Drosophila melanogaster: one gene and its partner. The protein of the gene in region 2 purifies or fractionates together with the protein of the main gene of each other region. This does not show direct contact. Each region holds a gene or a part of one and is shown on either strand. Other genes may lie near its edges.

Region 1 (6,859 bases), on a different chromosome or scaffold from region 2:
AGGAATGATCATTGGATCAAAATAGACATACAAATTTATTGACAGGTCTGCTATCTACATCGCAACTATGATACTGAGCTGTCAACTGTGCCTTTAGGAAAGTGAAAAGTAAAACTTTTGTCTTCGGCCCGCAAATTCTGAACCTTTGCTAAGATATTGTGAAATAAAAAAACCGAAGGCGAAATAAATACCGAAGAGCATTAAAGAGTTTAGGAGGTATCAAGTTTTAAAGGAAAGCCACTCTTTCCGATTTACCAAATGATGTTTTGATATTTCTAGTCCCAGCCAGATGTGTTCATTACTTACTTTTATTCCCACTTTTTTTCATCAATGTGGGCAACAACTGCCCAGAAATGCAAATAGGCTTTGTGCAATTCATGGCATACCCTATTATTTTGTATAATTAGTTTCTGTATACTTAAATGTGAATATCAAAAGTTTTTAGACAGCTGTGCACTTACAGAAGACCACATATGATCTCATCTGTATCCACAATTTTTAATTCTAATCATTTCCGGGCAGACGAGTTCTAAGTTTAAGAAAAACTCGTTTCATTTTCATTTTAAAATAAAAGTTTATTTTAGAAAAACCTAAATTAATAATTGAAACTTAAATATTAAAATTGAAATTTCTACAGAATAAAGTACTTAAATAAAAGTGTGCTCTTTATTCTTGATTATACGTTGGTGGTTTCTATGTGTAACCAATTGTCTCTGTCTGAATTCTGTTCGATAGTTAAGTCGTTTACATGGTTGTAAGGGTTCCTTAGCGGTTTAGCAGTATCAGCTTGATCATAATATTACGAAATACTTGCGTCTACATTAATTTCAATGTAATCAAACTATGGAAGAGCTTTAGATGCGCCGCGAAAAGTTTCCGCCGCCATTGTTTCCCATTCCGCCGCCACCGTTACCACCGCCGTGTTCCCCACCATTGAGTCCACGCGTCTTTCCGTCGTAGAACAGCTCAATGTATCGCGAACCCATCTGCTCTCTGTGGCGCTTCATGGCCACCTGGGAATCCTCGTAGGTGTCGAAGTAGGCATCCGCAGTGCCACTGTGCAGACCCTTCTTGTTGTAGTTTATCCGCACGTTAGCTGGTCGGATTGGTTCGAAGAACTATAGAAAGAAATTATTGTGATTTTAAGTAAGTTGAATATTCCTTCTTAACAAGTTCGTTATTGTTAAACCCACCTTAAAAACGTCGTTTTCAAATGAAGTGTAGGGAAGTCCGCGCATGTGGATTGTATAATACTCGATGTCGTTGCCCCGACCGCCGCCGATGGGACCGAAATTGCCACCACCGCCCATTGAGTTGCCGCCGCCGAAGTTCGAGCCATTGTTGAATCCGCCGCCACCGCCGTTGTTGCCTCCTCCGAAGTTCGAGCCGACATTGTTGTTTCCTCCAAAGTTACCGAATCCAGAGTTTCCGAAATTTCCGTTGTTATTGTTGCGACCGCCGCCGATCGGGCCAAAGTTGCCAACACCACTCGAGGATACGAAGTTTCCGCCGTTATTGAAACCTCCTCCACCATTGCCGCCAAAATTGGAGCCGCCATTGTTGCCGAAATTATTAACGCCACCTGGAGAATTGAAGTTGTTGCCACTGTTGAAACCACCGCCGCCGTTGTTGTTGCCGCCGAAGTTTCCGCCTCCATTATTGCCGAAGTTTCCAAAGTTTCCGCTGTTACCACTGTCGTTTCCAAAGTTGCCGGAATTTCCACCGTTGTTGCCGCCACCAAAGTTGCCGAAATTGCTGGGTCCAGAGTTATTTCCAAAATTTCCATTATTTCCACCTTGGTTGTTTCCAAAGTTGCCCGAGTTCATCAGGCTTGGCAGATTGTTGAAGCCCAGCATGTTGTTGGCACCAACGCCAAAGTTGCCATTGTTGCCCCAATCTTTGTTTAACATCGGAATGGCAATCAGTGAAGTTTTATAAAATTTAACAATTAGATCTGAACATACCATTGCGCCCTCCGCCGAAATCATTGCCACCACGGTTGGCACCACGATCACGTATGTCATAAGGGCCAGGGCGTCCTCCGACACCGCCACCGGCGCCTGTGGCCCTCTTCATTTCAGCAATCGAGCTGCGGAATATCTCAATATACCTATGTGAATAAAAGTGGAAAATATATGTATTTTAAAAGTGGTACTTGAAATTGCTAGGGTCGGTGGCTTTTTTCCATGATCAACTATTAAATATCACGTAAAAAAATGAAATCAAAATAAATTCATTGAAATGATCAAATAAAATAAATAAAAATGCTGTTCACAGTTTAATTAATTTGTTAGATAAAGCACATGATCGCGCTTAAACATATATATGTATTTAGAGAGCCCCACCAGACCCGTAGCTATGGGAAAATTTTTTGCTAAATGATTTCTCAGTTACTGAAATAGAAATTATTTGTGATAAAAGTTATTAAATATTTTGTGAATAATTGTATAGTCCTTGTGTGTTTCAACAAGTTCGCAATCGATTACCACTTAATGTTTTAATTTCGCTGTTTTTGTTGTAGAAGATATGATGAATTAGAAACCCACCTGTGCCCAATTTTTTCCCGATTTCGGCCCAAGGCTTGCTCAGTGTCGTCCTGGCTTTCGAACTGAACAAAAGCTTCCCCAGTTGCACGACCCCTTCTGTCCATAACAAAAAGTATGCCCTCCCGATCCGTTTTGATATCCAACCCTGCCCATGACGATAACCAACAAAGATTTATACAAATATATAGATTTCATATATATATATACATTATGCAAGGTTAAGCTTAGATAGAAAAACAGAAATACAGAGGTTGATAAATGTTATTGTTTAGTTCCAACACCGCAGAACTTTTGCAGGTTCTCACGGTATTAGCAACGTTTGCATAAATAAACAGTGCCTTTTAGTCAAACTATGATCACCAGGCAAGATGCGACTGTTGCAATCGAGTTTCCCGGACCACAATGTATTACAAAACTCAGATCCTGTAACTCGTAGACATGTGTAGCTCAGTTGAAGGTTGTGAGTAATGATCGACCATATAACCAAGTAAACTGGGTTATGTGACCAACGAAGGAATGATTTATCGGACAAGCGGACGTGACCGCGTCAACTCTCAGCCGTTGACTTTGGAAGGAGCCGCGTGAACCGCCGAACCCATTACACAAATGCAAGGGCCTGCATTTCTTTGCCCGACAATATGTATGTACGTTGAAACGCATGTGTAATTGATATATGAAAGGTGTAGATGAAAGGGGACCGTAGGCCATATCTCAACGATGTGAACAAATAATACATGCGGTCAACCACTGTCTTTTTTCCTGGTACCTGGTACATATTAGTATGGAAAGAGGATTTGGGTCAGGAAACTTACCAGAGAAGAACTCCTCGATTTGCTGCTCAGTGACGGCATATGGCAGACCACGAAGCTTCACAACGAAGGCCGTGCCGTGTCCGCTGATCTTCCGCATGGCTTCCTTGGCCTCCTTGGGCGTGGCGGTAAAAACTAAAGAAATAAAAACCAATTACATCAGTTAAAACGGAAAAAAAACAAACAAGTTTTCTGCACCATTTTGTGTTTGTTATTAAGATAAGAATTAACATGAATACAGATTATAAATGGTGGTGTGAAATTTACTTTACTAAATTTTAGTTTACCTCGATAGAAGCAAGGATAAGAGTAACAATACAGTGACATATTTGTAAAACCTCCTTAATATTAGGTAAAATTCCACAATGAATGAAAAGAAAATAAGCGCTACCAGTATAAGTAGCAAAACAATGAAGAAATAAATCATCTTCGATTCCATGTATGGAATCAGAACAAGTTCAAGCTTGTTAAAAGGATAAACATATAAACAAAGTGAGAAGAAACTAACTATAACTGCCAAGATAGTCATCAGGTACAGTCATCCCCCACTCAAGTGGCAAATAAACAAACCTTCAATGTAGCGGTGACCCATGCTGGCCTTGTTCAGCTTGCGAGCCTCTTCGACGTCCTCCTGGCTGGCCACCTCCACGTACGCCTCGCCGGTGTTCTTGCCGTCGACCCGACTGGTGACCAGGTGAATGCCCGCCGAGCCATTAGTCACATTCACGTTTTCCAGAAAGTCGAGTATCTCCTTGTGCGTTGCGGACCAGGGCAGGCCGCGCAACCGAACGAATTTGGGGCTCTCGCCGACGTTTTCGATCTTGCCGCCGCCATCTTCGTTGTACTGGTCATCCTCATCCTGCTGCTGGTTGCTGTCGTCGTTGAAGTTGTCGCCATTTCCCTGCTGGCCGTAGTTAAATTGCACGTCTGCGTTGGACATTTTTCACCAGATCTCTACCTGCAAATGGTGTTACAACGATTAGTCACTGGTTAACTAGTTTTAATTGTTTTTTACTGGCTGAAAATGCGATTTTTTGAGCTAGTGATTCTCCACTCAGCAGCGACGCTTGTTTGGTGCGATTCTTTTTTGCACCGCGTACGCCATTTTGATTTCTTGTCACCCCTAATTGCTTATGACATTTTGCAAGTCTCGTACACAATATAAACGCTTCTAAATGTCACACCTGGTGGCGGAACAGAGAACTAACCGTATTCTGCTCTGTTTCAACTTCCAATATCGCCTTTTTTTAAACTTTATCGGTTAATTTGACTTATTTTTCAGAGAGATTAATCAAATAGCACGCGTCAAGTTGAAGATGCAGTGTGACCGCAATTAAATCATCAAAAAATACCGCCTGGCAGTAGCCAGCATCAATGTGGACCGTTGAAAAAGAAACAAGGTTTGATTTTGATTTTTTTTTTGCTTTTTTTGGGCAAGATAGAAGAAATTAAATATAAGGAAAATGATAAACTAACTGTGATCTTACCCGAATTTGAAATATACTGAAGCAGAAACATTTTAAATATCTCACTGTTCCGTGACAGCGACAGTTATAAACGTGTCCATCCCTGGAAAAGCCAGTGTTGCCAACCATCACTCAGATCTGTCATACCCGTGTGAAAAGTAGCAAGAACAAGAAAAGTGAGTCGAGCTGTTACTTAACCAAATTTTTGCAATTAACAAGCATTTTACTGTTTTTAACGGCAGCATGTTGAGCATCACGGCCCGTAACCTGGCAAGCGCCCTCCGCAGCAGCCTCGTCGGCACATCGTCGCGCGTGGCCGCCGTGCGCTGTCTGCACGGAACCGAGGAATCGGCGGAGGAGTTCGACAAGCGCTACGAGAAGTACTTCAGCCGTGAGGGCATCGATGGCTGGGAGATCCGCAAGGGCATGAACGATCTGCTGGGCATGGATCTGGTGCCCAGCCCCAAGATCATCGAGGCCGGTCTGCGTGCCAGCCGTCGCGTCAACGACATTGCACTGGCCATCAGGTGGCTGGAGGGATGCAAGGACAAGTGCGGCGACCAAAAGGCCACCCTCTATCCCTACTTGCTGGAGAAGATCACCCCCACACTGCAGGAGCTGGGCATCCCAACCATCGAGGAACTGGGCTACGACAAGCCCGAATTGGCCCTGAAGTCCGTGTACGATGCCTAAGCGGAGAACACTAGTTTAAAAACACAGAACACAATATACACGTTACAGCGACACTAGCTACCTACTATCCAATGTATGGTGCGGATGAACATGTTGTTGGATTGCTAATAAATGGAGATTGCAGTAAGGCTACCACACCAGCACAAGGTTGTTTTCCCTGTTGGTTACGTAACACCCAGGTTAGGGAACTGCATTCGGGCAGAGATAAACAAAGCGGCTGATAGCAATTCGTTTATTGTCCGGCGACTATTTCCATTTGGACAGCAGTTCGGCCGCCTTATCCAGGTTCTCTTGCTTCTTGATGAAGCAGTAGCGCACAAAGTCCTCCCCCAGATGTTTGTTGGGTTCGCTGTAGAAGGCACTTGGCGGTATGCCCTGCAAGCCCATGTTCTTGGTCATCCACTTGGTAAACTTGTAATCCCGATGCTTGTCTGGCTCAGAGCTTAGATCAATCTTGCCCGCCAGTGGTGACCAGTCTGCCAGCATAAAGTAGCCACCCTCAGGAATGGTGGGACGCATACCGGATTCGGACAGGAACTTGGCCATGAAGTCACGCTTCTGCTTCAGCTCGCGCGGCAGGCTAAGGAAGTAGCTCTCCGGCTGACCCAAACGGGCCAGTTCTACCTCGAAACTGCGTGCGACGCCCTCCTGGAGCGGCGTTGGACAGGTGTACACAGAGTTCTGATGCACCATCTGCAGGTTTCGAATCAGTTCAGCGGGTCCGTAGGCCCAGCCTATTTTCCAACCAGTTACTGAGAAGGTCTTGCCCGCTGATCCCAGAGTAATGGTGCGATCCCACATGCCCGGCAGCGTGCAGATACGGATGTGCTCGGCTCCGTCGAACACCAACCACTCATACACCTCGTCCGAGACGCACAGCACATTCCACTTGCGGCAGAGCTCGGCTATCCTCTCTAGCTCTTTCCGGTTGAAGACCTTTCCAATAGGGTTGTGGGGCGTGTTTAGGATAATCATCTTTGTTTTAGAGTTGAACAGACTCTCGAACTCAGCGTCATCTAGCACCCAATCGGCAGAGCTTATTGGTCCCTCTGTCTTGCGCTAGAAGTTAGACATGTTAAAAAGAGGGATATATTTTTTTTTTCTATTGTGGTTCTTACCAATTTTAGGGGAACAAAGCGGGGCACTCCACCGGCCATCTTGACCATAGGCTCGTAGCAATCAAAGAATGGTTCAATAATGATCACCTCGTCGCCCACGTCCACATGGCCCATGATGGTGGAGTAGAGAGCCTCATAGGCGCCTGAGGTAATCAGTATGTCGCTGAGGGGATTTAGCTCCTTGCCGACGAGACCGCTATAGAGCTTGGATAGCGCATTGACCAGGC
Region 2 (5,259 bases):
ACGTAATCTTGCCGCTTTTTTATTAACACGGGGTGCAAAGAAATTAACTTGTGTTCGGTTGGTTGCCTGTTTTGGGGGAGAATATACAATTTTTACACTGCTGCTGGTATTTTTTTTTTGTGTTTTTTTTTATGTATTTATGTTTGTATGTATTTTATGTATGGGTTGTCCAAAAAGTAATTGCGGATTTTGTAAATGAAAGTAAATGCATTTTTAATAAAACTTCGAATGAACTTTAATCAAATATATTGTTCGATAATCTTTTGCCATCTTTCTGGCGAACATCCGAATTAATCGTTTGGTTCCTTGGAAGCAGCTAAAAATATACGACACCCTTCCAATACCACCAAACAGACAGCATAACCTTCTTTTGGTGGATATCAGCCATTGAAGTGAAACGGATCGAATTCATTGCGTTTAAGGTGCTTATCACAAGCGTTGATTCGGTGTGTTAAATGAATTTCTTTCAATACATGTGGTACCCAAATATCAAGCTTTTTCACCAGTCCAAGACTTTTTATAATGAACGGTTGATTTTTGGTATATTTAACTTCTCTCCTATCTCACGCTCAAGTTACATGACGATCTAATTCGATAAATAATAATGCTTTGATTTGGTCATCATCAACTTCATTTGGCCTGAACGTGGCTCATCTCTAAGTGAAAAATCTCCAGAACGGAATTTGCGAAACCAATTTTGACACTGTCTTCCTTTTAAGGCTTCATCACCATACCATCGTATCTCTCGTAACTTTCTAGCAACCTTCTCCGCGTTTTTTCCTTTACGGAAATAATAAAGTAAGATATGACGAAAATGCTCCTTTGTGGGCTCCATATTAAAATTGACGCCAAACAAACAAATAAAAACAAAATTTCGCGCACTTTTTTTTCTAATGGAAGCTAAAAGTAACAGCTGATAACTGACCAAAGAAAGAATGCAATTACAGAGTTACAAGCCGTTGAAAAAATTTGTCAACGCCGACTATATGAAAAATCCGCAATTACTTTTGGGCAATATCTTACTTTTTGGGCAATATCTTAGGTTGGTTTCAACGTTGCCAAAGTTCTTTTTTCCTTCAAAACAATTAAACAAAAGCCACGACGTTCACACGTAACTTTCTATCGTAACAATATCGATGTCGTCGGTTTGTTTTTGTTGCAGGCACATGGAAAGATACACATAGAATATAAGAAATCCGGTTAATCGAATTGCTACACAGGAAAAAACAAGGTGGAATAGTTAATTTGGTTATTTGCAAACTGACGTTATTAAAATTAAAGGCCAGGGCTATGGTTGAAATTTTTTTAAATTTACATTTCCTTCGGAGACAATATTTCTTGCTGTGTAAAGATCTTTGGTGCGAATGGGTAGAAATGGTCAGATGACAAAAAATTCACGCATAGTTATTATGAAAGGCACAGGTAGGAACAAAAAAAAAAAAGAGAAAAAAGCGGCAGAAGCAACCGGCCGGTACACATACACACAAACACACGCAGCTGAAGAGATTCCGCCGTACACGTGTATGTGTGTTTGTCGTCTAACTGCTTTTTGTACACGTTCACAAGTTTGCTCCTCCTTCGACACCCCAACACTACTCTCATCCCCTTTCACTCGTTTTTGAACGGCTACGTGAAAGTATTGTTTTCTTTTCGCTGTGTCACGAGCGGAATGGTTGTTGTTGTTGTTGTTGTAACAAATCCCCAGCCTCACTCACACACCAGCACACATGCCGCCTATCAATGAGAACAACGAACTTATGTATTTCCAAGGTGAAAAGAGAGCTGTCGCCGGTTCACCACATTTGCGCGCCATTTGCCAGGGTATTACAGATTACAGCCAGATGTGGGCCAAGTAAACATCTACAGGAGTATATTTAAATTTTTGTGCAAACGCCAATGAACAACGGGTTTAAATTCACTTTGTTATCAAGAAAATCCCGTTTTCTTTACTGGCAGCACTTCGCAGACATTTTGCCCATTAACAAGTGAAAAAACATGTGGCAACGCCATGTGTGACGTGAACGCGAATGGAAAGCGAAAAGCAAACGTACCAAAAACCAATGCCCTCAAAATAAATGTTAATTCCATCGAAAGAAAAAACAAACAATTCTTTTTCGAGTTTTCCTCCAGCTTTAAACGATTAATGTTTTATTGTTGTTGCTGGCTGAGTACTCACGACTGAACTGAATGAATCGCACTGGCAGTGTGTGGGAAATTCACCACGGCAAAGGCAACGAAGAAAAAAAAACAAAATGGAAGACGTGCCTTATGAAAAATGATACAACAAAGAAGTCTCAAGAAATGTCTTGGGTCTCAGTTCTTAGAAAAGGGAACAAACGCATTTCACTGTATTTTTACGCTTTTCGTTTTGTTTGGCCAGCCAGGCGGTTTAATCGATGGGGCACTCACTAATTCACGAATGCACTTTCACGCCGGGTACACTTTTGACACTTGGGCTTTCGGGCCGGAGAAATAGGAGCGAAATTAACCAAGATTTCTAATACGCAATTTTACGAATTTCGCACGATTTTTGTATTTTGCACCGCAATCTGCTGGCGTGTGTGAGTGCATGAGTTGGCCGTACGTGTGTGCGCGTGAGAGCGTGTGTGTGCGCGAATGGCCGCCGAGCGCTGTGCAATGGTGTGCGTGATCGTTGGTGTGGTGTTATACATAGCATTTTTTCGTATGTATGTATAAAAATATGAAATTTTCCACTTTGATGGGTGGAAATAGAGTGCCGAAAGTGGCACGAAAAATCGCTGAAAATTGCACAAACCTCTGTTTGTCGAGAAATCCGAAAAGGCGAAGAAACGATTCGAACGAATCGAGCCAATTTTACCCCACACACAAACACACGCGCACACCGAGCAATGGCAGCTGCGTCAAGTATTCAGGCGTTTTTTTTGGAAAGGAAAGGCTAGGCAGGCATTTTGTTAAAGCACTGTAATTGTTATGTAAATGCGATTTTCGGTCGCTTTTCGTTCTTACCGTTTGTGCCAAGTGTTCGTCTGTGGTTTTTTAAAGATTTCGCACTGCAAATTCACTAAATTTAAGTGTTTTTTCCTTAAAAAACTAGCTTATAAATAATTGTATGATTTTGATGCATACGATATTATAACCTAACTTATATGATAAATCGCCGCCACGTTTAATGCTGTGTGACCGCCGCCAGCCAAAAAAAATACCTCAAGTTGCACGGAATATACTAAAACATACTCCACATATATTCTGAATCTAACAGATACTAGAAAACAAATTTAAATTACGAATTTATATCTATCTTTTAACACGAAGGCTAAATATAAAGGAAGTTAAAGGGGACTGGTTAAAAAAATGTATTATAAATTATTTACATTAAAATGTAATTGTGCAGTACAATAATATCTTAAAGGTGAAAAATGTAATAAGATGTGTGTATATGATTTGTATGTACTATACTAAAAAAGGTTTTATAGTCGCTTTCTTTAGGCGGATGGAATGTTTTGAAAGGAAAAAATAATTTTGAGTATTTTTTTCGTAGGAGTTGAAAAGGAAATATTTAGATTTTCATTTTTCGGCCCTGGAAGTTATTGTTGCCAGACACTCCCGCCTTTTGCTGACCGTTACCCGCGGATTGAGCATAACTTTTGGTATATTTTTAGCGAGTCCGCAGTTTCTTTTAATGGTCTGTCCACGGTCACTCTGTTTGCTACCCGGTAAAATGAGTTTTGCGCTGCATTAAATAGAAAATAAACACAAAAATTCGCATCTGCCGACCGTGTTAAGTGACTAAAAGTGTTCGCCAGTGCGCGATTGACCGACCAAAGTGCCCAGGAAGGCGGTGGCAAGTGATTCCAACCCATCATCGATTTTTTTCTGCGCTGCTGCCACATTAATTTGGGCCCGGGGAAAAGCGAAATAAACAGAAATGTCGCGCCATCCGAGCGATAGAAAGGTGTACGTGGGCGATCTGGGCAACAATGCCCGGAAGAACGACCTGGAGTATGTATTTGGAGCGTACGGCAGTTTGCGCAGCGTCTGGATAGCCCGCAATCCGCCGGGCTTCGCCTTCGTGGAGTTTGAGAGTGCCCGCGATGCGGCGGATGCGGTGCGCGGATTGGACGGACGGACGGTTTGCGGGCGCCGAGCCCGTGTGGAATTGTCCACCGGAAAGTATGCTAGGTCCGGCGGTGGTGGTGGCGGAGGTGGTGGAGGCGGTGGTGGTGGAGGACTCGGAGGACGCGACCGAGGCGGCGGTGGTCGTGGGGACGATAAGTGCTACGAGTGCGGCGGACGGGGGCATTTCGCTCGCCACTGTCGCGAAAGGAAGGCCAGGCAGCGACGCAGGTAAGCGCAATTCGCATTTGCAATTCGCCATTTCAATTTTTCATTCATTGTCGTTGCCAAAAACTTCTTGCTTTTTGTAACATGGCGAGAGAAAGGCATACATACAAACAAACGCATACATACATACATGCATGCTTGTGTGTATGCGCATGCAAAAATGTTGAGTTTGTTTGGGCACCTCTGTCGCCTGTTAAAACTAACAGCGTGCTGTTATGCGCAATGAGTGCTGTTAATCCCAGCGCATGAAGTAGTTCTGTACCATAACAGCACGCACACGTGCTCGGGTGGCATACCCATTAATATCGATATGAGAAGTATATAGCTTCTACAATTGTCTAACAAAATCATGCTTGACAACAGTAGTTATCTATTCAGATAGTAATAACAGAATTTTGTTTTTAAGTCTATTATATAGACTATTATAAGTCTAATATATTGTAAAAATGTAAACACTTTCGTGATTAATAAATATATAAAATATATATATTTTATACTCTTGAGCACAAGAATTTGTCCGTAAATTGCACAAAAGCTTACAAATAGTTACGTGACAATGATTTAGCGAAGTCCTCTAATATATTTAATATTGATATTAAAGTTTGATTGATTTGATTAGAAATAGACAAATTAAAATAAGTGGTAAACAAAAGGGTAGCAGGCGGCTGCAAGACACCCTCCTACGCTATTTTCCCCGCGCTTTTACGTTCGTGGTGAATTAATTACAGTGGTGCTGTTATGCGCGAACCAAGTGGCAACGCCGTAGACCGAAGGCACACGTGCTTGCACTTCATTTTGGATTTTTCTTTTACACGCGGCATACGGAAAAGAAGGTTAAGTTGCTGCTGGCTGCCGAGAGTTTCGGTGGTTTTAAATTGAATTAAAATTGAAACTAAATGAGCAGAGCGTAACGCGATGTTTGTGCTCTACGAAACG

What was found.
Region 1: the proteins of Hrb27C (region 2) and glo purify together in Drosophila melanogaster (affinity purification with western blotting; 2 studies listed by BioGRID). This does not show direct contact.

Annotation. Positions count from the first base shown.
Region 1 is NT_033777.3:11,814,648-11,821,506, forward strand, and holds glo (glorund), read right to left. Parts: upstream 4,774-6,859; 5' UTR 4,564-4,773; intron 4,458-4,563; exon of another isoform or gene 4,371-4,457; intron 4,314-4,370; 5' UTR 4,296-4,313; coding exon 3,926-4,295; intron 3,491-3,925; coding exon 3,359-3,490; intron 2,692-3,358; coding exon 2,547-2,691; intron 2,111-2,546; coding exon 1,965-2,110; intron 1,898-1,964; coding exon 1,194-1,897; intron 1,119-1,193; coding exon 855-1,118; 3' UTR 646-854; downstream 1-645. Other genes in the region: COX5A (cytochrome c oxidase subunit 5A), read left to right, coding at 5,065-5,514; Kyat (kynurenine aminotransferase), read right to left, coding at 5,761-6,573, 6,633-6,859.
Region 2 is NT_033779.5:6,918,591-6,923,849, reverse strand, and holds the start of Hrb27C (heterogeneous nuclear ribonucleoprotein at 27C), read right to left. Parts: upstream 3,147-5,259; 5' UTR 2,989-3,146; intron 2,885-2,988; exon of another isoform or gene 2,777-2,884; intron 2,591-2,776; exon of another isoform or gene 2,410-2,590; intron 2,212-2,409; exon of another isoform or gene 2,052-2,211; intron 1,120-2,051; exon of another isoform or gene 1,116-1,119; 5' UTR 1,024-1,115; intron 67-1,023; 5' UTR 1-66. Other genes in the region: nop5, read left to right, coding at 5,239-5,259; x16 splicing factor, read left to right, coding at 3,908-4,326. UniProt on the Drosophila melanogaster protein: This protein is a component of ribonucleosomes. Could be needed to organize a concentration gradient of a dorsalizing morphogen (Dm) originating in the germinal vesicle.